3 linked regions of the Cricetulus griseus genome follow. The protein of the gene in region 1 purifies or fractionates together with the protein of each later gene. This does not show direct contact. Links are inferred from orthologs where the notes say so. Each region holds a gene or a part of one and is shown in the gene's direction. Other genes may lie near its edges. The genes, in order: Sumo1, Mitf and Hif1a.

Evidence for each region.
Region 2: the proteins of Sumo1 (region 1) and Mitf purify together in Homo sapiens (affinity purification with western blotting; 3 studies listed by BioGRID and IntAct, with this or other methods). This does not show direct contact. The link is inferred for Cricetulus griseus from reciprocal best matches to the Homo sapiens genes SUMO1 and MITF.
Region 3: the proteins of Sumo1 (region 1) and Hif1a purify together in Homo sapiens (co-immunoprecipitation; 3 studies listed by BioGRID and IntAct, with this or other methods). This does not show direct contact. The link is inferred for Cricetulus griseus from reciprocal best matches to the Homo sapiens genes SUMO1 and HIF1A.

The regions. Positions count from the first base shown.
Region 1 is NC_048595.1:413,928,245-413,936,551, reverse strand, and holds the start of Sumo1 (small ubiquitin-related modifier 1), read left to right. Parts: upstream 1-2,857; 5' UTR 2,858-3,002; coding exon 3,003-3,014; intron 3,015-8,307. UniProt on the Homo sapiens protein: Ubiquitin-like protein that can be covalently attached to proteins as a monomer or a lysine-linked polymer.
Region 2 is NC_048601.1:45,990,607-45,998,223, reverse strand, and holds part of Mitf (microphthalmia-associated transcription factor), read left to right. Parts: intron 1-5,982; coding exon 5,983-6,232; intron 6,233-7,617. UniProt on the Homo sapiens protein: Transcription factor that acts as a master regulator of melanocyte survival and differentiation as well as melanosome biogenesis.
Region 3 is NC_048598.1:129,461,773-129,469,389, reverse strand, and holds part of Hif1a (hypoxia-inducible factor 1-alpha), read left to right. Parts: intron 1-139; coding exon 140-342; intron 343-3,607; coding exon 3,608-3,714; intron 3,715-5,221; coding exon 5,222-5,369; intron 5,370-7,117; coding exon 7,118-7,338; intron 7,339-7,617.

The DNA.
Region 1 (8,307 bases):
AACTTTTGATACATTCCAAATTTTCAGTTTTCCTTTGGTTATTTGTGCTTTTGGTGTCATATCTAAAAACCCATCATTTATCTAATCCAAGCTGGGTGAGTGTAAATGGAGTTCTTAACTGGTCTAAGTAATAAAAACCCAGAGTCAGATATAGAGGAAAATGCTGAGAGATCAGAGAGAAGGAGCAACCCACGGCCACACCTTATCTACTTAGTGTCTCAGCAGACAAGAGAGCGAGTTCCTTTTTCTCCCTGTTTCTGTCCAGGTACCTCACTTCCTGTCTGTCTGTACACATCTCCAGATCTCTATGGTTAGCTAGTGGCAAGCTCCATTCTCTGACCCCCAGACAGGCTTTATTTGTGCAATCAAGATATCACCACAGGTGCGGTATTGGAAACTTGAAATTCTAGTAGTTGGAAGGCTGACACAGCAAGAGCTGAGTTCCAGGACAGCCTGGGCCAAATATAAACACCCTGCCTCCAAAAACATAATCAACAAATAAAAGTCATAAAGATTTGTTTGTATTCTCTCCTAAGAGTTTTGCTTTTAGGTCTTTGTGCTGGATAGTTTTACATCAACTTGACAGGAGCTAAAGTCATCTGAGAGGAGGTATCCTCAATTAAGAAAATGCCTCTAGCCTGGCAGAAGTGGTACATGCCTTTAATCCCATCTTTTGGGAAACAGAAGCAGGAGGATCTCTGTGAGTTAGAGGCCAGCCTGGTCTACAGAGTTAGTTCCAGGACAGCTAGGGCTACACAGAAAAACCCTGTCTCAAAAAAAAAAAAAAAAAAAAAAAAAACAACAGCAACAACAAAAAACCAAACCAAACCAAATAAACAAAAAAAGAAAATGCCTCTGTTTTCTGGAGTAGTGATTGATGGGTGGTTCCATCTCTAGGCTGGTGGTTCTGGGTTCTGTAAGAGAGCAAGCTGAGCAAGCCATGGAGAGCAATCCAGTAAGCCAAAAGCAGTACCCCTCAATGGTCTCTGCATTAGCTCCTGCCTCAAGGTTCCCACCCTATTTGAGTTCCTGTCCTGGCTTCCTTCAATAATGGACTACGATGTGGAAGTAAAAGCCAAATATACTCTTTCCTCCCCGGTTTACTTTTTTGTCAGTGTTTCATCACAGCAATAGACCCTAACTAATAATAGTAAAAATAATAAAAAGAAACCCTAAGACACCTTTGAAACATTTTAATTTTGTATATGCAGTGAGATAGGGATTCAAATTCTTTCTTTTGCATGTGAACTTCCAGTAGTCTCATTACCAATTATATTGCTATTTTTAATTTTTAAATGCTTAAACGTGTATGGGTGGGTGTTTTCATCTGCATGCATGTTTATGCCGTATATGGAGGCCTGGCCTGGTGCTGACAAAGCTAGAAAAAGGCATTGGGTACTCTGGGACTGGAGTTACAGGTTAGGTGTGAATGAGTATGTGGGTGTTGGGAATCAAACCCGAGTTCTCTGGAAGAACAACCAGTGCTCCTTGGCCGCTGGGCCATCTCTAGTCGCCTCATTACTAACTATAGAAAAGATTCTTTTTTTTTTTTTAAATAAAGACTTCCTAGATTTTTTAAAAGATTTATTTATTTATCATGTATACAGTGCATGCCAGAAGAGGGCACCATATCACAATACAGATGGTTATGAGCCACCATGTGGTTGCTGGGAATTGAACTCAGAACCTCTGGAAGAACAGTCAGTGCTCTTAAACCCTGAGCCATCTCTCCAGCCCCTAAGAAAAGATTCTTTTTTTTTTAATAGATTTTATTTATTATGTATACAACATTCTGCTTCCATGTATATCTGCACACCAGAAGAGGGCACCAGATCTCATAAGGGATGGTGAGCCACCATGTGGTTGCTGGGAATTGAACTCAGGACTTCTGGAAGAGCAGTCAGTGCTCTTAACCTCTGAGCCATCTCTCCAGTCCGAAAAGATTCTTTTACTAACGTCTTATACTGTGAAAGGTTATTGATTTATTTAGAATTTTCATTTTTGCCGGGGGTTGGGGGGCGTGGTGGCACATGCCTCTAACGCAGCAGAGTCTAGAATAGTCTACAGAGTTCCAGGACAGGCTCCAAAGCTACACAGAGAAACTCTGTATCGGAAAAACACACACAACAATTATTTTTTCAATTTTACTCTTTTTACTTATATATCCGTAATCCACACTTAATGCCTGTGCAAGAAGGTCGTGGTAGTCAAAGAATTTTAGGTCTTTCTGTGACGAAAGGCAAATAGTTAATAGGTTGGAGGTAGCTCCTTCTGCCTATAACTTCAAACTTAAAAACTTTCAACATTTTAGTCATCTACAGCTCTTAAAACTGTCCTAGAGCTGGGGGCAGAGGTAGGAGACTCTATGTGAGTTCGAGGCCAGGCTGATCTACATAGTTCTAGAGCGGCCAGGGTTGCTCAAAAAACAAAAATAAAAACAAAAAATATGTGTTCTAAGGGGTCGTCTTTTCGTTGTGGTCCTAAATCAAGGTCATGAGTGTGCTGGCAGCAAACAAGAGAAGGTAATAAAAATATTATACCGGCGATTCCCTATATTTAGGGACGGTTAGTAAGGTTGGGAGCAGACAAAAGAACTTGGTTTAGCTCGGAGAAGCGCGCAAGGTGTCCGAGAGGGAGGAGTCTAGGATGTCGGTTTGACCCCAAACATTCAGCCTGGTGGCGATGCCCTGGTCTCCCTAGGGGGCTGAGGCAGCCGGCCGGGTCTCCCAGCGGCAGAACACACAGTCGTTCTCTTGCTCCGGGCAAGCAATTTTACAGGTCAGACGCCCCAAGGCCTTTCCCCAAGGCGTTTTCCCGCCTCCTTTTCCCGTCTTCCCAAAGTCTCCTTTGCGCGCAGCGGAAGTGACGCAATACGTAGCGGAAGTCCCTGCAGCCGCGGTGTTGTGCTGTGGGGAAGAGACAGATTTGTAAACCTCAGAGTGAGGTTCTGCCTGCCGGAGGCCGCTGTGGTGCGGAGACCCCCGGGCGAAGCCACCATCACCATGTCTGACCAGGTACTGGGCCAGGGCATCGGGGCTCAGAGCTGTCGGCCGCTGGCTGGGCCCGGGGACCGCGGCGCGGGGGAGGGGACGCAGCTGGGGGAGGGGGCTGCTGCTGGGGAGGGGGCCGCGAGGGACGCGGAGCGCCCGGCCGAGTCGGGCCCAGCCGCCCGGGACCGCGGGGCTCCGGGGAACACCCGCCCTCCGCCGCCTTCCCCGCGCCCCCCTCCCGCTGCCCCGCGCCGCGGCTCTCTCGACGGCTCCCAGGTTTCTCGCGGGTCCGCCGGGGGCCCAGGCCCGCTCCTCTGTCCCCGAGAGCAACCTAAGAGAAATCGACCGTTTCCCTTCAGAGGACCGATGGCAGAAACAGGGCCCCAGGCCTAGTTATGTAACGGGAGGGAATCCCTGACTGGGAGGGTAGGTAGCCCCGAAAAGCTGCTCCACTCCACTTTGGGTTCTTGGTCTCGGAGTGGGGGGCGGAGAGGAAGCCTGGCCTGAGGTTCCTGGGACCCAGAAGACGCTGCTTTCCGTTGTGTTTGCCGGGAGGGCCTGTCCGCCTCTGCTCCCTTCTGCGTCTTTTTTTTTTTTTTTTTTTTCCATCTGGGGGGTGCGGATCGGTCGGCTCTTTTTCTGTACTTTCCATTTCTTACTCGGGATTGGTCCATCAACTCTCTAGTTGTAGGAGAGTTCAGAATAACCGAGAAACAAACGAAACTAGGTTAGAGTACCACCACCAACAAGCCATTTATTTCATCTGGGCATTAGCCTGCTTATGATTGTTACATTTTCAAAAATGGCACTTTTTTTTAACATAGTCAATTTTATACACGTAAACGACGTATCTTGGTTATATGCACCTCCATATCACCCTCTTCCAGGTGATATTTTTGAGGAAAATAGAAAAACTGAATATTTACAGCTGCAGAATGTTTACAGAAAGCTGCCAATTAATAGTAAAATGCTGTGTCTCCGTATTAATGTTAAGAATTTGCATGGTATTGGCATTCAAATTAGGAATACTGCCACCTTAATTTCCTTCATCCCATTTTTGTTTACCACGTTTGTGGCTAGTTTTAATACATAGGATTTTTATCTGTTTTTCCTTTTGTTTGCTTAGAGGACTGAATTTTCAAATTTTTTTTGACGTTTGTCTATAATGATAATTATTCAGTAAACTTTTCATTCAGCACCACAGTGTAGTTGAACTGTTTTCTTTTAATTTAATCTTATTTATTTATTTATTTATTTATTTAATTGTTTTTCGATACAGGATTCTCTGTGTAGCCTTGGCTAACCTGGAACTGCTCTGTAGACCAGGCTGGCCTCAAACTCAGAGATTCCCAGCCTTTGCTTCCTGAGTGCTGGGATCAAAGGCATGCTTCCCCACCACCTGGATAATATGGTTCTATTTTTGTAGCCTATCCATAATGTAGATTAATTGTGGGGTAGATTTGTTTATAAATAATCTGGATTAATTCTGTTTAATCTGGATAGAAATTCGTTTATGAATATCTCTCCAGATAGTTCCGAGTAAGGGAGGAAAGATGAGCTGTAAATGCTTAGTTTCATCAGTCTTTTATTTTAGAAGGAACTAGAAGGCATGTCAGCCTGATGAAGGGCAACATACAGTTAGAAATTTTAAAATTATTTTTGCTCTAGTTTGAACTCACATCATTTAAGAATATGGAGAAAGGCTCTAAAGCTACACAGAGAAACCCTGTCTTGAAAAACTATTAAAAAAAAAAAAAGATTATGGAGAAAGGAAAAGAGAACCTAGGACACAGGCTGTTTTCAGGGGATCTGTGAAGCCACACTAGGGTGTAGTACTTGTTACTGGGCACTGAACTTAGGGCTCACATGTGTACATGCCAGACAAGCACTATACCACTGAGCTAGATCCGAATCTCTTATACTTAGTCTCACTATGTTGCCTAGGTTGTTCTTGAACTTCATTCTGTAGCACAAGGTGTCTTTGAACTCGGAATAAATACTCCTCCCTCACTTATCGTTGCAGAGTAGGGAGGATTAGAGTTATGCCATACCTGGCTAGTCCATGTGTGATTTGTTTATTTTTTTTTTTGTCCCGTGTTGTTCCCCCCCCCCCCCCCCAGGGTTTCTCTGTATTGCTTTGGAGGTTGTTCTGGAACTCTGCTCTGTAGACCAGGCTGGCCTCTGCCTCCCAAGTGCTGGGATTTTCTTTTGTTTTTGAGATAGGGTCTTACTATGTAACCTTGGCTGCCCTGGAACTCATTCTGTAGTTCAGGCTGGCCTGGAACTCACAGAGGTCTGCTTGCTTCTGTCCTCTGAGTGCTGGAGTGAAAGATGTGCATCACAATACCTGACAAACTTTTGTTTTGTTTTGTTTTGTTTTCAAGACAAGATTTCTTTGTAGCTTTGGAGCCTGTCCTGGAATTCACTTTGCCTGCTTCTGCCTCCCAAGTGCCACCACCACCTGGCCCAAAACAAGTCTTTTTAATTGAGCTACACAGTAAAGCAATATGCAAGAGTGTGAAATAGTGCTACTTTTAGAAATTTTGACTTGAAGAAAAAGTATGCTAACATTTTAGGGGTTATTTATTTTGTTTTCTAAGACAGAGTTTCTATGTGTAGCCCTGATTGTCCTGGAACTTGCTCTGCAGACCAGGCTGGCCTCAAACTCAGAGATCCTTTTGCCTCTGCCTTCCAAGTGCTGGGACAAAAAGTGTGTGCCACCATTGCCAGGCTGATGGGATTGTAAATAATTGAGAGTGTGTTACTAGATTTAGGAACAATTTATTGGTCTAGGCTGATTGACCTCATTACTATTAGTTCCCAGAATAAATTCAGTATTGAGTGTTAATTTTTTAGAGATGAAGGTTAAATGAATCCTTATCTTTTGTTTAGTTTTTTGTTTTTCAAGACAGGGTTTCTCTGTGGATTTGCAGGCTGTCCTCTGGAACTAGCTCTTGTAGACCAGGCTGGTCTGGAACTCACAGAGATCTGCCTGCCTCTACCTCCCCAGTGCTGGGACTAAAGGCATGCTCCACCAACACCTGGCTATGAATCCTTATCTTTAAGAGGCTAATAAGTGAGAACAGGAATCCCCAAATACTGCTGTGTAATAACAACACATGGAACTGAACTACTGTCTCCAGAAGATAGCCTTAGAGTGTATTTTCTTTGTCTGGGGGTGTAGGTCAGTGATAATGTGCTTGCCTTGAACAAGGATACCTTGTGTTACAGCTCCAGTACACATTTTGTTTTCTGAGGCAACTCTTAGCAGCTTTATCTTGTGCTTAAAATACTAAAGTTGAGTAATTAGTTTTTGCTTTTCTCTTAGTTTTTAGATGATCTCCCTGTGTATCCAGGCTAGCAGTGATCCTTCTGTTCTACTTTCCCAAGTTCTGGGATTACAGGTGTGTGCAACCATGCCCGGCTGTACAACTTCAGTTTAAAATAAGGACATTATGTGCACAAAGAGCTTACATTGTTGGGTTCTTCACTGATGAATACCCAATTATTATTTTTGATATTTGAATAAAAAATATGTGGGTTTTTTGGTTTTTGTTTCTTTTTTTTTTTTGGTTTTCGAGACAGGGTTTCCCTGTGGCTTTGGATGCTGTCCTGGAACTCGCTCTTGTAGACCAGGCTGGTCTTGAACTCACAGAGATCCGCTTGCCTCTGCCTCCCAAGTGCTGGGATTAAAGGTGTGTGCCACCACTGCCGCCCGGCTTGTATTTGGTTAAGACAGCTTTCTCTGTGTAGTCCTGGCTGACCTGGAACTTTGTAGACCAGGCTGGCTTTGAACTCAGAGATCCACCTGCTGCTGCTTCCTGAGTGCTGGGATTAAATGTGTATACCACCACCACTGTCCGCTGAAATACTTTTTTTAAATCTCATTACTCCGTAGTATAATTGTGGACAGCATTGATACATGGTTCTCCAAAAAAGATGAGGATTGTCCTATAACCATTAATAGAAGTTTGCTTAGCCTAATTTCACATTTCATCAAAACTGGAAGTATAAATATCAAAGGGATAAGAGTAATTTGAGTCAGTATTTTCCCTTTTTTCTTACAGTCTAGTTAAAATTGTTCTTCATTTTATATCAAATAATCAAAAGCAACTTTAGTGTAACAAAAACAAACAAAAATCAGCCCAGTTGGAAATAAACGTCTATCACCTAACTTTGGAAATGGATCCTGAATTATATCACTCAGTCAAATCCCTAAGATCAGCCTAGATTAATGGGAAAGATGTATCTCATTTCTCAATAGGAGTAAGAAAGAACTTGCAGTTATCTTTAGTCTACCTTATGACTTCTTTTCTGTTGCCATGATAGCATTTGTTTCTTTTTCCTTAATTTTTTTTTTTTGGGGGGGGGTTGAGACAGGGTTTCTCTGTGTGCCTTTGGAGCCTATCCTGGCACTGGCTCTTGTAGTCTAGGCTGGCCTGGAACTGAGATCCCCTGCTTTTGCCTCCTGAGTGCTGGGATTAAAGGCGTGTGCCACCAACACCCAGCAGGTTCTTATTCTTAGTCTCTGCTGATCTTGGTTAACAGCTGGAGTTTGCAGGAAATATTAAATGGTTATATCTTAAAATGTATAGCTTTCTTTACCACTCCTATCATAGAGCATATTAAACTATAGTAGTTAACTTTAACATCTAGTTAGTGGTGGATACTTTAGGCATTTCATGTCCTAGAAGAACAGTGCAGTATAGTCTGTCATCTTTCTGACTGAGTGAGGTGTTGCTAGTGTGTATTATAAACTGATTATAATGAAGCACTTCAATTAGACTAAAACAACCATTTTATAGTATATTTTAAAAATTTACTTATCTTTATTTTATGTGCATTGAAATTTTTGCCATGGATGTCAAGTCCTCTGGAACTGGAGTTACAGACAGTTGTGAGTTGCTGTGGGGGGTGCTGGGAATTGAATCCCGGTCTTCTGGAAGAGCAGTCAGTGCTCTTAACCACTGAGCCATCTCTCCAGCTCTCCAGTTTTATAGTATATTGAAATAATATGATAGTCATAGTTATAGTATTCATAGTTGCAGAGTTGAAATTTCAAAACTATAAAACTATGTTTTCTTTTTTTTCTTTTTTCTTTTTTTTTTTTTTTTTTTTGAGACAAGGTCTCTATGTAGCCCTGGGTATTCTGGAACTCCCTATTATGTAGACCAGGATGGCCTCTGCATCCTGGGATTAAAGGTGTGTACCAGTACATTCTGCAAGTAAAACATTTTTCAAATAATTGTGATACTCCATAGTAGTTAGGTTAGCTCTGTTACAACATTTACATATAATATTCTTTATATAAGTATCT
Region 2 (7,617 bases), on another chromosome or scaffold:
ATATTGAAATTGTAAAATTTGACATGAAGCTCTACAGCTTCTGTCCTGAATGGCTTTTCTAACTGGATAGATGTTCATTGAGTTATTGTATAGACTTTGAATCTGGTTAATTTTTGGTATGTGATGTTTTTATTTCTCAGTTCTGGGATTCTTAGACATATCAAACTAACTTAAACTAGAATAGAGATGACCTGGCTTTTCTGAATCACTGTTTAGGGTTAGTCCAGAATTACAAAGAATTCGGGGGTGGCTTGATCCATATTTTCCTTGCCATCTGGACACAATGCCCTCCTTTTATGCTCCCTACCCTGTGGCCCTTGTCACTTTTTTTTTTTTTTTTAACTTCACATTGCTGTTTCTAGTTTGGGTCTCGTCTCTCATAGATGCAAGAAAATCTAGGTTTACTTCCTGCCAGATTTCTGAATGTAAAGTAGAGTTACCTCATTCCGAAATTCCTGTCAGAAGCAGTACCCTCTGTACCATGGTAACATTCTGGCCCCTTTCTGACCCTCTTGCCAGCAAACGGATAGACTGATTGGCTAGGCCTACTGTGAGCATCCATGAGCTGAAAGTAAGGGAGGCCGGTTTCGAAAAGTCAAATCAGTGGCACAGGATTCTGAGTAGGCCTGCATAATGGGTGGGGCCAGTAAGCTTCAACTGCTGTCTGTGAAATTGGGTGCAACCCATTCACCAATCCTTACATCAGGATGCACACTTTCATCTAGGTTTCAATCTGCTGTTATAAACGTTGGGCCTTGGTAGATATATTCTAAGCATGCAGTGATTAAATATGAAGCATTTAAGTAGTCTTTAATCTGCCACAATGTTGTCTAGACAAGTGACTGAGCATGCTCTGTGATTGGGGCAATTGTCTGAGTACATATAGAAAAACTTCATTACTTTAAAAAGTTCTTGTCAATAGTTGGGTGTGAGTGAAAATCCACATTGGACAGAATGAGCAAGAATTGGAGAGTGTGGGGCTCAGGGATGGCTCCAAGGTTAAGAGTGCTTGTCAGAAGACCTGAGTTCAGTGTCTATAACGCCAAACAGGTGGCTCACAACCACCTGTAACTATCTTAGGAATCTAATGCCGTTAGCTTCCACAGGTGCTCACATGACCATGCATGTGTTCACATACACACACACACAACACACACACACAGAGAGAGAGAGACAGACAGAGAGAGAGAGAGAGAGACAGAGAGAGAGAGAGAGAGAGAGAGAGAGAATTAAAACATGAAAAAAATGGAGTGTGTGTTCTAGTGGAAGCTTCATTTGAAGAACAGAAACTTAAGTGTGGCGTTTCACCTCTTTTGTATACTTCCAGTGGTCTGCCTCAGAGGGGAGTTCCTGTAAAAGTCCCAGGCATCAAGAGTGTGTCAACCCCTAGTGGTGTCTGTGCAAAATGGAGATAAGTTATGGTGATAAAATGAGGAAATAGCAAAGTTCACATGTTGGCTTATGACGTCTCTTTTTGTTTTTAATTTTTTAATTAAATTTTTTCATGTAATATTTTTGATCATATTCTTTCTTCGCTCTCAGATCCTCCCCCTCCCTATCTACACAACTTCTGTTCCTTCTCTTAAAAAGAAACCCTAAGTCAAAATAAACAAAATAGCATACACACACACACACACACACACACACACACACACACACACACACACACACACACACACACACACACACACACACACACCCCCAGAGAGTCCATTTTGAGTTGGCCTTCTACTTCTGGGCATCCAGCCTTCCATGGAGTGTGGTTGATATACCCAGTGTCACTCAACTGGAGAAAACAGATTTTCCCTTCCCTGGAAACTACCAATTGCAATAGCTTCTTGATCAGCCATGGGGCTTTGCACCTACATCCCCTTCTGCATGCTGGGACTTTTGTCTGGTTTGAACTTATGTGGATTTCTATTACAGTCTCTGTGAGTTCATGTGTGCATCAGCCCTGTTGTATCTGGAAAATACTATTTTCCTGCAGTTGTCCACCACCTCTGTCTGTTAAAATCTTTTTGCCCTTCTGAATAGATCCTTTAGCCTTGAAGGGAGGACTGAGTACCAGTTCGGTTTCTTCATATTTAATGACATAAGAATATAATGCCCTTGACAATAAGGTCTTACTGTCAGGTTGTGGCGTATAACTGATTTGATTAGCAATAGAGATTGGGTAGATAGTTAAGTACCAGGGAGAAAGAGTTGACACTTCTTCCAAAGAAGAAGAAATAGAATATAGTGGTATAAAGGAATAAAGAGTAAATTAGAATAGGAAGTACAACTCCATTCCACTTTGTGGCCTCCTCCTTGACTAGCATGGAGGAAGTCTCACGCTCAGGGAATTTGTTTGGCCAGTGTCAGCAAATGCACTTGCAGCCATGCCTATGGGATTTTCTTTCTGAGAAGAGTAATATACACTTTTCCATGCAGAACTAGATCAGAATCCAGAAGTCTAGACAATTGACTTCTTCTGAAGGCATCTGTGAGAATTAGTGTGGCCAGGGCTTTCACTGTGGGGTTAGAAGCCAGGTGTCCCTAGCACCTGGTAGTCATTATTTGTTGAATCAATGAACTTCACGTAATCGGGTTAAAAGGAATCATACTCATGGAATTAGGATTATCTAGCTAGAGCTGAGGTTTGTAGGCTCAACAATGAGCCCAGTTAGCTATTAAAATTAGATACACTCCGGTATCTCTGGATATATGTTGTTAGTGGCTCTGTCAGGAAGCCCCCCTTCTTAAAAGTAGCCATTCCAGCCACTTGGAATATTCATTAGCTAAGCTTTCATTCCTTACTAACCCTTTCATAAACTCACAAACCATGCTCTCTTGTTCTGTGAGTGGATTATATTCTAGTTGTGTCTGTCTTTGTCTACGAGGTTATAATTGTGGATTTAGTTGTTTCTAAGATAAGTGGACACTCAAAAGATGGCAAGCCAAAGCTGAGAATCTGGTAGTCATGTCCCACAATGTGGAAATATCCTACAGGGCATGTGTATGTAGTGAAATAACCCCAATGCTTCCTACCTCCTTTAGAAGCCTTGTTAAAATGTCAGTTGGCTGAGTTTTATTCTATTTTCTATAAATGTAAACTATGTTTACTATTGTTTCTTTCATAAGGTTCCCCATATCCGTATCGTCCTATTGAACAGGTCTGTATTGTTTCTTTCCTGATAGACTATTATAGAAGCTACTTTAAATGGTTTTGTTATTGAGGTTAAAGTATGAAGCCTTAGTGGGTTGCTCACTAATAATTTTAATTTGTCTCTGGGATGCTTTATTGTTAATTGAAAGGATTCCCCTCCCCTGGTATTGCAGCCAGTGGGTTGTCTTGTGCAGTTAATTAGCACGATTATGCCACAGCTCCATTTGCACCCACACAAAGGTTGGCTCTTGTTTTTATCAAAAGGATCATTCTCTCTGAGAATGCTTGTACCTGACAGGCTTTGAATAGCCAGACCACTTGTTTCTTTTTAAATAGCCACCTCCCATCTTTTCTTGGCTTAGGAAAGTACATTTGAGCTTTGAAGACGCACTCCAAAGTGGGAAATACATTTTCTTCGGATGCTCTTTTTGGCAGTGAATAGATGATTTTAGATGAACAGACCGACGAATGGTTGGGGAGCTTTTTGGTTGTGTGGAGGAATGTACAATGTTAAGATAATAAGCAAAGTGTAGATGCCACTCTCTCGGTGTTCTGTGTATTTATAGGGAATGCAAGAGAAACAGCAGAAGAAAGATGTTTTATGTGTGGGGCTGTTGAAGACACCCAGAAGAGCTGATACCCTGGATTAGGACACTGTAATCCCTTCTTGTAGTTGAAATATTGTCTGATAGATCAAGTCACCTTTCTTCTAGCCTAGTGGTGATGCTGATCCCCTGTCATTTTGCCACTTTCTGTAGTGTCTAGTGCATATATATTGCCACTGAAAAAAATACTTTAGTTTTATTGTAGCTTAAAGGAGAAAAGTTAAAAGACAATTGATTTTCCTGAGTTGATCCTCACTCAAGCAAATGTTGTTGTCCTACACATTCCCTGCTAGGCACTTTGTGCACTTACACACACATGCTGGGCTTACTCTGCATCAGCCTGTAAATGCATATTGGAATCCAAATTTGTGACTTATGCTTACTGCATGCATATCCTACTTTGCTGTTCCGTTTGCATTTTTAAAGAAATAAGGTACTATGTTGCTGAATTCATGTCATAATTTACTTAATTAGCTATGGTCTCATTTGAAGGGAAAATTAGGTGACTCCGGATATTTTTGAAATCTTTAAAAGCCTTTATATTTGTGAATTCTTCCACTTTTGAGTTCTTTCAACAATTACATGTCAAGGAACTTTCTGAAACAAAATGAATAATTTATTTTTAGCTTTTAGATGTAATTTTCATAAAGGATAATAGTAATACACTATCATTATGCTTTTCTTGTCATGAACATGGTTTGCTTTTTAATTGGATACTACCTAGAATGATATTTTTCACCTGGATTTAAAAACTATTGTATAATTTTATTCATATCAGCAGATTTGTTTTTATGGCATTTTAGTGAATGCATGATATTACATTTTATGAATTATTATAATTTACTGACTTTCTGTATGGAAAATAAGCTTCTGGGCTGTTTAGGGGACTACGTGATAGTGTGACACAAATCTTTGTCCTGCAGCACACCTGTTACTTGTCCTTTGGTTATTCACAGAGGTAGCCAGGGGCTTCAGGACTTTTGTCTGTGGTAGGAAGGTAAACACAGTGTGGGGTTTGTGCTCAAGAGGCAAGTTAAGTTTAGATGCCATTCCTAAAGTGTGATGGATGCAAATATTCATATTTTTCTCTTTCCAGAAGCCAAAATATTGTTTTATAAGGTTGCATAGAGATTTGAATAATTATAATTAAGTTTGATTCCTATACTGGATGATAATAATTGCAAGCATAAACATATAGCAGGGCAATGATCATTGTAGGTGGGGATTATGGGCACTGCTGTATTTAACTCTCACAACACCAGTAAGTCCTTAGGAGGGAAGGCTTTTGATACAAGTGGTACAGTACAGTGGTACAGATACTTAAAGAATATAAGCCCACTTTAATAAATAGCGAAAATGCGGTATACAGCTCTTCCAGGTATGGAAAACCAGGCAGAAAGAGGTTAATTATCTGTGCATATCACAGAATTGGCAAGATAAGCAACCCAAAGCCTCACCTAGGGAAAATAGGAACTCTTTTTTTTTCTCACCTTCCTCGCATTTAAGCATGTTAGATAATAGTGAACAGAATGAGTCCCTGACCTTTAGAAGTAGACCTCATGGAGAAAGCACAGAACACTGATGCCGTGGACATGCCCAGATGAGTCAGTCACAAGGAAAGACACACAAAGAAAACTAGGAGGAAAAGAGTTGGGTTGTCAGTGCAGCTTCTCTTCTGTCCCTTGCTCAAAACAGGGGTGGAGTGCAGTATCAATGTCTGGTTCAGATGCTTCTTCATTAATGATTTGTTTCATTTGTTGTCTTCAAAAATCTTTCCTGTAACAGTGTTTCCTTCCTAGCAACCATATTAGACATCTTCAAGGAATTTAGATAACATGTAGGAGTCCTTGGTTACTTAGACTTAGCTATTTAAGACAGCAAGTCAAGTAATTTGTTTTTAACTGTGGAGACTTGGGTGCCATTGAGATGGATGGCTTCTAGTTGCTGCATATGGTGGTGTTTTATTCAGTGGTGTGTGGCATAAATGTCAAAAAGAAATAAGTGATTTGGTAAAAATACCTAGACGCAATCAGCCTGACTTGTTTAATTCAACTCCTAATGACTAGAATCCTGTCACCTCTTGATTTTCAATTACATGGAGTGCCGTGCCTTGCCTTGATTATATCTGTGCAGACTCACCTCCCAGTTTGGTGGCATTTAGGATATCCCGCGATGCAGGTGATGGGTCTCATCAGGATACTAAATGGTGTGTGCCTTCTGGTTTCCCCACAGCAGTTCCGCAGAGCATCCTGGGGCCTCCAAGCCTCCATTAAGCTCCTCCAGTATGACATCACGCATCTTGCTACGCCAGCAACTCATGCGTGAGCAGATGCAGGAGCAGGAGCGCAGGGAACAGCAGCAGAAGCTGCAGGCAGCCCAGTTCATGCAACAGAGAGTGCCTGTGAGTCAGACACCAGCCATAAACGTCAGCGTGCCCACCACCCTTCCCTCTGCCACCCAGGTGCCGATGGAAGTCCTCAAGGTATGTGAGTGTTGCCCCTGTGTTTGGACTGAGCCTGTCCCTTTTCCAGCCCTATGTGTCATATTCGCTGGACTGTGACTTTGCTTGTTTTGGTATTAGATTCTTATTTATAAGCATCATGCCCAGTGGTTCCTATGAGGCTTTGTCTTTTAAAAGAAGGATTTGGACTAACTGTATAGGTTATAGCAACCCGTGAATGGTGGAAATGTTTTCATGACCAATCCCAAATGGGATCTGCTGTTTTCTATAATGAGCAACATTTCTCAGTCTTGTTTTTGGAAATGGTTTCAAGCGTAAGAGTTATCTGAAAGAGGCCTCTTCTAGAAACTTGTGTGTATGTTTTCACAAATGCTTTCCGGGGCCACACTTTAACTTTGCTCTTCAGTTAGCAAATCCTGCTGACCCTAAGAGCTAATTGTTTCAGAAAGTCTTTTCAGAAAGAAGACTGTGGTCAAGCACTGTCTGTGCCTTAACAACCAGACCTCATAATCCTTTTACTGAAGTGAGCTGTCTGCTTTGGGTCTCTTTGATATCTTGCTAGAGTGGAAACTGCAGGAGCTTGTTAACGTCCTTCCATCAGGGACACATAGCTTCCTAATTATGAGAGGAAGTTGTAGCCGCTCTGACCATAGACCTCCGTCTCCCACATTGTCCTCCCTGCCACATGGGGAGTTGCCTTGCTTCATAAACATTTCAATTTGTAAATACGACTGGTTCCAGAAAATCTAGAAGTGGGGAAGCCTCCTTGTTTTTCATTTATTATTATTATTATTTTACCCATCCGCCTAATTGATTGATTGTGAAGAGCCAAGTGTTCCTGTTCAGTAAGCAATGTGAACTCCTCAACCTGCACATGCATTGTCAGTCTTTGCTTTACCCTTGTGCTTAGAAAAAAGAAAATCCATCCATCTCCCCCTACTTAAAGTTTATTCTTAAAGTGAACAGGAGTGATGTGCTACACACAGGCTCCTTCAGGAATTCTTTAACAATGACTTTAAAGTCGCACACATATATTTACAAAGACTTTCAAATTTAAGGATACCATTATGGAACCCTTAGGTAGAGAAACCAGTTGAAATTTTGCTAATAAAGCAAAAATGATGCAACTGGTTTCCGCATAAAATTTTACTTTAACATGACTGAAATTCTGAGCAATGCCACAATTATGACTCTTAGTCTTCTATCACCCTATCAAGCAAAAGCATCTTTTTGCCATAGAATGAACTATATATGGACTCTCTCTGTTCTGCCTGAGTAGAACTTGAGAGTCCCCATTTGATTATTGTTTCCTGTTTGCGAGAGTCATGATCATTCTGTTTATACTTTATCTAAGCAGCATGACCTCTATAATCACAATGCAGAAACATGTATCTGTTTTATTCACT
Region 3 (7,617 bases), on another chromosome or scaffold:
AAACTTTTTTTTTTTTTATTTTCAAAGATACACATCTATCAAAGTTTGTCAGGTCAAACTCAATTACTGACCTATATTTCTTTTTGCCCCTTTAAAAAAAAAAAAAAAGATAACTGCTTGTTTTCTTGCTCATGCACAGGTGCTTCACTGCACAGGCCATATTCATGTATATGATACCAACAGTAACCAACCTCAGTGTGGGTACAAGAAACCGCCCATGACATGCTTGGTGCTGATTTGTGAACCCATTCCTCATCCATCAAATATTGAAATTCCTTTAGATAGCAAGACTTTTCTCAGTCGACACAGCCTGGATATGAAATTTTCTTACTGTGATGAAAGGTAAATTAATTCTATTTTATACTTTTAAATTTTAAATTTCTCTGTAGCCTTTTTACACTCACTGTAGTAAAAACTTAATGGTACACTGCATGTGTTCATGAAATTAAATATAAAGATGCATCCTGGAACACAAAAAAAACATAAGATTAGCTTTGTAAATTCATGCATCTATTAAACATTGACTGTGTACTATAAATATTCTGCCAGGTGTTCTGCAAATCTATTAAGATGAGATTCTCAGATGGATCTGGTGGCACACTCCTGTAATCTCAGCAACTGGGAGATGGGCAGGAGGAAAGGGAGTTGAAAGTAAGCTGTCTCACAAAAATATGTTTCAGGATAGGGATGTAGGTCAGATGGATCACTTGTCCAAGCATTCAAAAGGTATTGAAACAACCACAAAAATCATGACGTTCTTTTGCTTTAGGGAATCTTGAGAATGTAAATTTCAAAGACCTAAAGCTTATATAGAGTAGGCAACAAAATTTTGGTCTTTAACCTATATGTTCTCCTTGAGCACCTTCAACTCCACCCACAGTTCCTGTCCCCATTTCCCAAATCTGTTACTACTTGTGTGTAACTGCCAACTTGATATTCCTGTCTAGATCGTTTTCTGTATAATGAAGTAAATACTTGTGTTCCTGAACTGAACCACTGCTGTTCCCAAACAGCAGCATGACAGATTGCTACTCCTCTTGTGATGCCTAGTGTTGTTGACATAGCACTGTTGACTCTAACTTTTACCACACATTACACTTAGTTGGTCTCTAAGTATTGTAAATGCATTGTTCATTCAACTGTCTCTCCTCATTGTTCTATCTACCTTTGTGCTCCTGTCATGAATTCTTTACTTCATTACCTTTGGCCTGAGTTGTTCCCACAAACTTGTGAGCTTCATTTCTACCAACAGATCTGTGCCCTTTTACTCTTACACCCATTGTGCCCAAAGAGGGCTTCCCAAGGTAATGATCAGATTATGCCAATTTCTTATTAGAAATGCATCAGTTGTTTCTTGTAGGATTGTAGATGGGAAGATTTTTATTTATCAAAAGATGCTGTACATTCTGGATGTGGTGGTTTATGTCTGTGATCTCAAAACACTTGGGAGGCTGAGACAGGGAAGTCACCAAAAGTTCAAAGCCAGCCTGGACTACATACGGACTCCAGTCTAGTCAGGACTTTGTAGTCTGTCTGTGTCTCAAAAAAAAGAAAGAAAGAAAAAGTGTGCAATTAAATCTAAATATAATAAAATGACAAGCAAGTTATTTACCAGAAGATTGCCCACAGGTTAGGTTTTCTCATTGTGTTTTCATGTCTAGAATTACACCAGAAACATGAATGTTTAATTAAAAAGTATTTCATTATGTTGGAATTTTATTTACGTGTGTAAAACTATGTAAGAGCAATTCAAATAATTTTTAGGGCTAGATGCACCTCCACACTCAGCGGTAGCATGTGTGAGTGCATGTATGTGGGTTCATGTGGGTCACAGCACAAAGGTAGAGGACAGAGGACAGTTTGTGGGAGTTCATTCTCACCTTCCACCACGTGGGTTCCAGAAACTGAATTCACGCTGCCAAGTTTGGTAGCAGGTGCCTTACCTGATGGCCCATTTTAATGGTCCTGGATGCTAGAAATGTGATGTAAAGGTTTTCTTAAAATTGGGCAAATTTTTTTCTGTGTCTTGATTCTGAGGTGGTATAGAGCAAGAAATTCTTAGCAAACATTTAAAACTGAAAACTAGTACAAATCACCAGCTCCAAATCACCAGCACCAAGATGGGGTAGGGAGGACCTTTGTCTAGCATTGTGAGCCCCCATATCAGGGTTCTCAACCAGTGAGTCATGTCCCTTTTGACAGTTGACAGGCCCTTTCACAGGGGGCCCAAGACCATTGGAAAACACAGATGTTTACATTATGATTCAGAACAGTAGCAAAATTAGTTATAAAGTAACAATGAAAATAATTTTATGATTGGGGGTCACCACAACATGAGGGATTGTGTTAGAGAGTCTCAGCAGTAGGAAGGTTGAGAATCACTGCTCTAGATTTAATCCCTACTACCATTCTGGGATGAAGGAGAAAACACATATTTTTAAAGTATATTTTATTTATCTTTGTAATGCTGCCATCTAGTGTTGGTGTATTTTGGTTATCCCTTTTTGAAGAGTCAAAGTTTGATTTATGCTTCAATAAATCTGCTTTGTTGGTTTTAGAGTAAATGGCAGATCTTAAACTGTAACAGCTAAGCTATATTATTTAACATACTGTTATGAACAAAGATACCTTCCTTATGCCCATTCTGTAATTAGGTGTTTGCTTTTTAGACATATGAGTATCTTTTACCTGCACCTTGGTTTTTTTGTTTGTTGGCTTTTTTTAAGTCCTCTGGAATCTAAACTGAGAAGTGTCAACACTTGGTTCATGTTTGTTCCCAGAAAGACTTCAGTGAAAAATGTTTGTAATTGGTTTAATGTGACGAGGACAGACTTGTCTTTCTCATAAAATGGGTCCTCATGGTTTCCAGGCTGATACCCAGGGACCAGGAGGCTCCCTGAATCCGTTTTCAGCCCTTTTTCTTTTAGATGCCGTTCTTTCATGTGAAATCCTCTTAATTTTAGAAAATTAATATTTACTTTCCATTTAGTATGGATGTCCTTGGCTTAATAGTGAAATTTTATAGTTGATATTAAAGTGAGGCCTTGCCACAGGCCTAAAAATAGGGTAAAGATTTTCACTGAATGAAAAATAAACTGCTATAGATTTATACTGTATTTTAAGATAATTGTGACTGTCTTTGGAACTTTTGTCATTTCATTTAGCATCATTAAGATTTACTAATATACCCTGCTTTGATACCAACAGTGTGTATAATGAAATGTGTTTTAAAAAATAGGTCATGAGTTTGGGTAAAAGGGATAAGTCAGATATCAGGGACTGATCTAAGTGACTTTATACTAAGTACAGAATTTGGGGTTTTTTTGTTTGGTTTGTTTTGCCGGGGGGGGGGGGGGGGGATGGGGTGTTTTTTGGTTTTGTTGTTTGGTTTTTTGTTTGTTTTCTGAGACAGGGTATCTCTGTATAGCCCTGATGTCCAGGAACTCTGTCAGTAAACCAGGCTGGCCTCAAGTTCACAGAGATCCACCTGTTTCTGCTTCCAGAGTGCTGGGATTAAAGGAATCCACTGCCCAGCCAAAGTATAGAATAGTTAAGTGTGAGTTCTAAACTTATTAAGCAAAAGATAATCTTTTTTTTTTTTAAACAGAATTACTGAGTTGATGGGTTATGAGCCAGAAGAACTTTTGGGACGCTCAATTTATGAATATTATCATGCTTTGGACTCTGATCATCTGACCAAAACTCATCATGACAGTAAGTACAGTAGAGGAACTCAAGGAAATAGTGTCATTGCTTAAGTCCTGCAGTCTGTACTGTACCTCTACTTTCTAGTTAAAATTACCACCCAGTCTCCTTAGACAAGCATCCTACAGCCCCTTCATAAGATGTCTTGATAATGAAATTATTGTTTTGTTACAAATATTAGCAAAAAGTAAAGTCATTTAATAATAAATACATAAAGTATCCCATAAAAGTCAAATATTATAGATTATCTAGCCTACGTACATATGTACTGAAATCAGTGGTTGGTCAATAGGAGGTAGTCACAAAGCATTTGTTCATGAACTAGTGAGTAGGATTAGTATACACATGTGATAACTGACACCCTTGACATATAGGAGGTTTCTGAATTTTACTCAAATAAATCTATGATACCAAACTAAGTTAAACTTCATAATTCCTCACTTGCCTATTTAATCTGGACCTAAACATGACTTCCCAATATGATTGAGGGTACTGAGTTGAGTATCATTGAATTAGTGTAATTTGCCTTGAACTACAGAGTATGCCTAAGTTGTAGTCAGAGCATGGATACTCACAACGGCATCATCATGATTGATTTACTACATTCTCTTAAGTCAGTAATTAATTTAGACTGCATGAATTGACAGAAGGCTATAGTATGACATGAACTTATATATTCAAATGTTCTGAGTATAATTTTTTACAGTGATTGGTTCTCTGGTGCTTAAAAAAACTGGTACCATTTTCTTTCTTTTTTTTTTTCTTAAAAAGAATTTATTTAACTATTTTATGTGCATTGATGTGAGATCTCCTGGAACTGGAGTTATAGACAGTTGTAAACTGCCATGTAGGTGCTGGGAATTGAACTCAGGACTTCTGGAAGAACAGCCAGTGCTTTTAACCACAGAGCCACCTGGCCAGCCCCTTTTTTTATTTTTGAGACAGGGTTTCTATGTAGCTTTGTAGACCAGGCTGGCCTCGAACTCACAGAGATCTGCTTGCCTCTGCCTCCTGAGTGCTGAGACTAAAGAGGTGCACCACCACTACCCAGCTCCATTTTCTTAAATGTACCCTGTGATCAGTCTCTAGTCTGACACTTTCACCATAAGTCATTAAAGAAACTGCAGACACCTTGTCCTTCACTCCTGGCTTAAGATAGGAAATTTCTTTGGGGTTTGTTTTTAGGTATGTTTGGCCTTTCTCATTTTAAACAGTCACAACTATTTATTTAAGTATATCTCCCTTGAAACAAACAAACAAACCAACAGCAATGGTTCAGTCAAGCACAGCAGCACCAGCCTTTACCCCCAGCACTGGGGAGGCAGAGGCAGGCAGATCTCTGGGTGTGAGGCCAACCTGGTCTACATAAGGAGTTTCAGGACAGCCAAGGCTACATAGAGAGACCCTGGCCTGGAAAAAAAAAAAGCAAAAAACAAAACCCAACAGTCTACATTCATCACTTTTTTTTTTTATTGAAAATTGAGTTGTTTTCTTTGCAATCCTTTATTATCCCTAGTGTTTACTAAAGGACAAGTCACCACAGGACAGTACAGGATGCTTGCCAAAAGAGGTGGATATGTCTGGGTTGAAACTCAAGCAACTGTCATATATAATACAAAGAACTCTCAGCCACAGTGCATTGTGTGTGTGAACTACGTTGTGAGGTAAGATTGTGAAGAGACACTTTCTACATTTATGTGCCTTTATTAAGAAGATATAAAATGATAAAAACTGAGTTTTATTTTTACTTCTTCTACTGGATTATGATTTATACTCTGGCCCAACTTTCCAAACCAGCTATTCCAGTGATCCACAAAAGAGTATCATTTTTTTTTTTTAATCAGTCTGTGGATCTGTTTTCCTGGTAGTTGTGTTTTAAGCAGCTGCTATCCTGGGGCCAAAAGATTCTGTGAAAGTTAAATGGCTGTCTTGTAGGAGGGCACTGTGACAGGCTGTGTGTTGTGACACAGGGCTTTTGTTACAGTCATGAATGCTATAAGTTATTTCAGCAAGCTGTGCCCCATTTAGTCACTCTTCACATGACCAAAACATTCTAATTTAATTGCCAGGCAGAGTTCTCTAATGTGGATAGCTCATTTTCCTATGTTCCATACCCTTCCCCTTCTTTTTTCCTGTCTCACTGTGAGTAGGCTTGGCTGGCCTAGAACTCACTGTAGACCAGACCAGCCTTGAATTTTCAGCTGCCCTATGTAGGTTTGCAGGGCTGTGCCAGCATTCTCCAGCATAACTTTCACGGATGCTACCAAAATCCAGGTCACCTGTCTTGTGAAGACTTTGGGCCATTGTTTTTGTTCTTACAACTTCTAGTTTCTATTGTTTCTTTGGGGGGATATTTTTGATGCTAGGATCAAACTCCATGCCTTACCACTTCTAAGCCCAAAGAATCATCTTAGTTTAAAGAGTTCTTTTGTGGTTTTTTTGCCTTTATATAAAACTATTCTTCCTCTCCCAGTCTGCCTCATGATTGTTACTTGAGCCCAAATTCCAGCTTGTTCACCTTTCTATGAAACATCCTTTCCCCATCTTAGGAGTGATCACAGTGTATTGTGATCTTATCCATTTCACATTGGATATAAACTACTTGAAGGCAAGGGTTGTATACATCAGTCTTTGTATTCTTAGTTGGTTTCATAAATTGAACATGTAATGGGTTAGCTAAAAGTACGCTGATGCCAGACATGAAGCTGGGTGGTTGTTCATCATCCCTTTCCCTCTTCTTTCCTATCTTATGAATGACATCACTATATTATTTCCACCAAGAAAGTATGGCGCCTCTCATAAAGACTATGGTCATTAGCATTATATTGTAAGATCATCTGTAGATGATGTCTCATGTGTTAATGCTGACGAGTAATTTTGTGGCCTTTTTATTGTGTGCATTGCACAAATGCCTTACTCTGCTTGTGTTTCGAGTGTTCTTGTCACCACCCCTATTCTCAAAGAATGTTTCAATTCAAATAAGTTGAATATTTTAATTAGTGAATTTTATTTAAATTTTTATTTTCATATTGGTGATGTTTTTATTGTTTTTGGGGGGTGGGGGTAGTTCAAGACATCGAACTCACAGAGATCCACCTGCCTCTGCTTTCTGAGTGCTGGGACTAAAGGCATGTGCCACCACCGCCCGGCTTCATATTGGTGTTCTAAAATAATACACATTTCTCAATAGTAGAACGCTTTCCTAGTGTGCAAAGGTCTTGGGCTCAATCATCAGCACTGGGAGGGAAAAGAAATGTGGCAAATATGCATGAGAGATTATTCATCTCAAGGAATGTTGAGATGCTTTTTTTATATAAAGCATAATTGAAGAGACAAGGTTGTTTCACAGTCCCCCTTATTATCATCATGTCAAGTGCTAATTTACAAATACTAATCTCTCCTTTTTTGACAGTGGTATTATTCAGCACGACTTGATTTTCTCCCTTCAACAAACAGAATGTGTCCTCAAACCAGTTGAATCTTCAGATATGAAAATGACTCAGCTGTTCACCAAAGTTGAATCAGACGATACAAGCTGTCTCTTTGATAAGCTTAAGAAAGAACCTGATGCTCTAACCCTGCTGGCCCCAGCTGCTGGGGACACAATCATATCTCTGGATTTTGGCAGCGATGGTGGGTGCTTAATTAGTCTGTCCACTTCTTCAGCTGTGTCTGCTGCTTCCTGTCCCAATTCAGCTGCACTTTCTTGGCTTACGTATTTGCATGATGCTTACACTTTTTTTTAATAGTATTTCAAAGGTATTGTTTAATGTATTTGTTTCTGAAATTTCATAGCCTTCCTACTTTTATTTTTGTGTTCTGTTGGGAATTGCAGTTCAGAGTATCCTGAAGGTACCCTCTAATACCCTCCCTGCCACCCAGCTGCACCATTCAGTAGAGTTAAAATGCAAT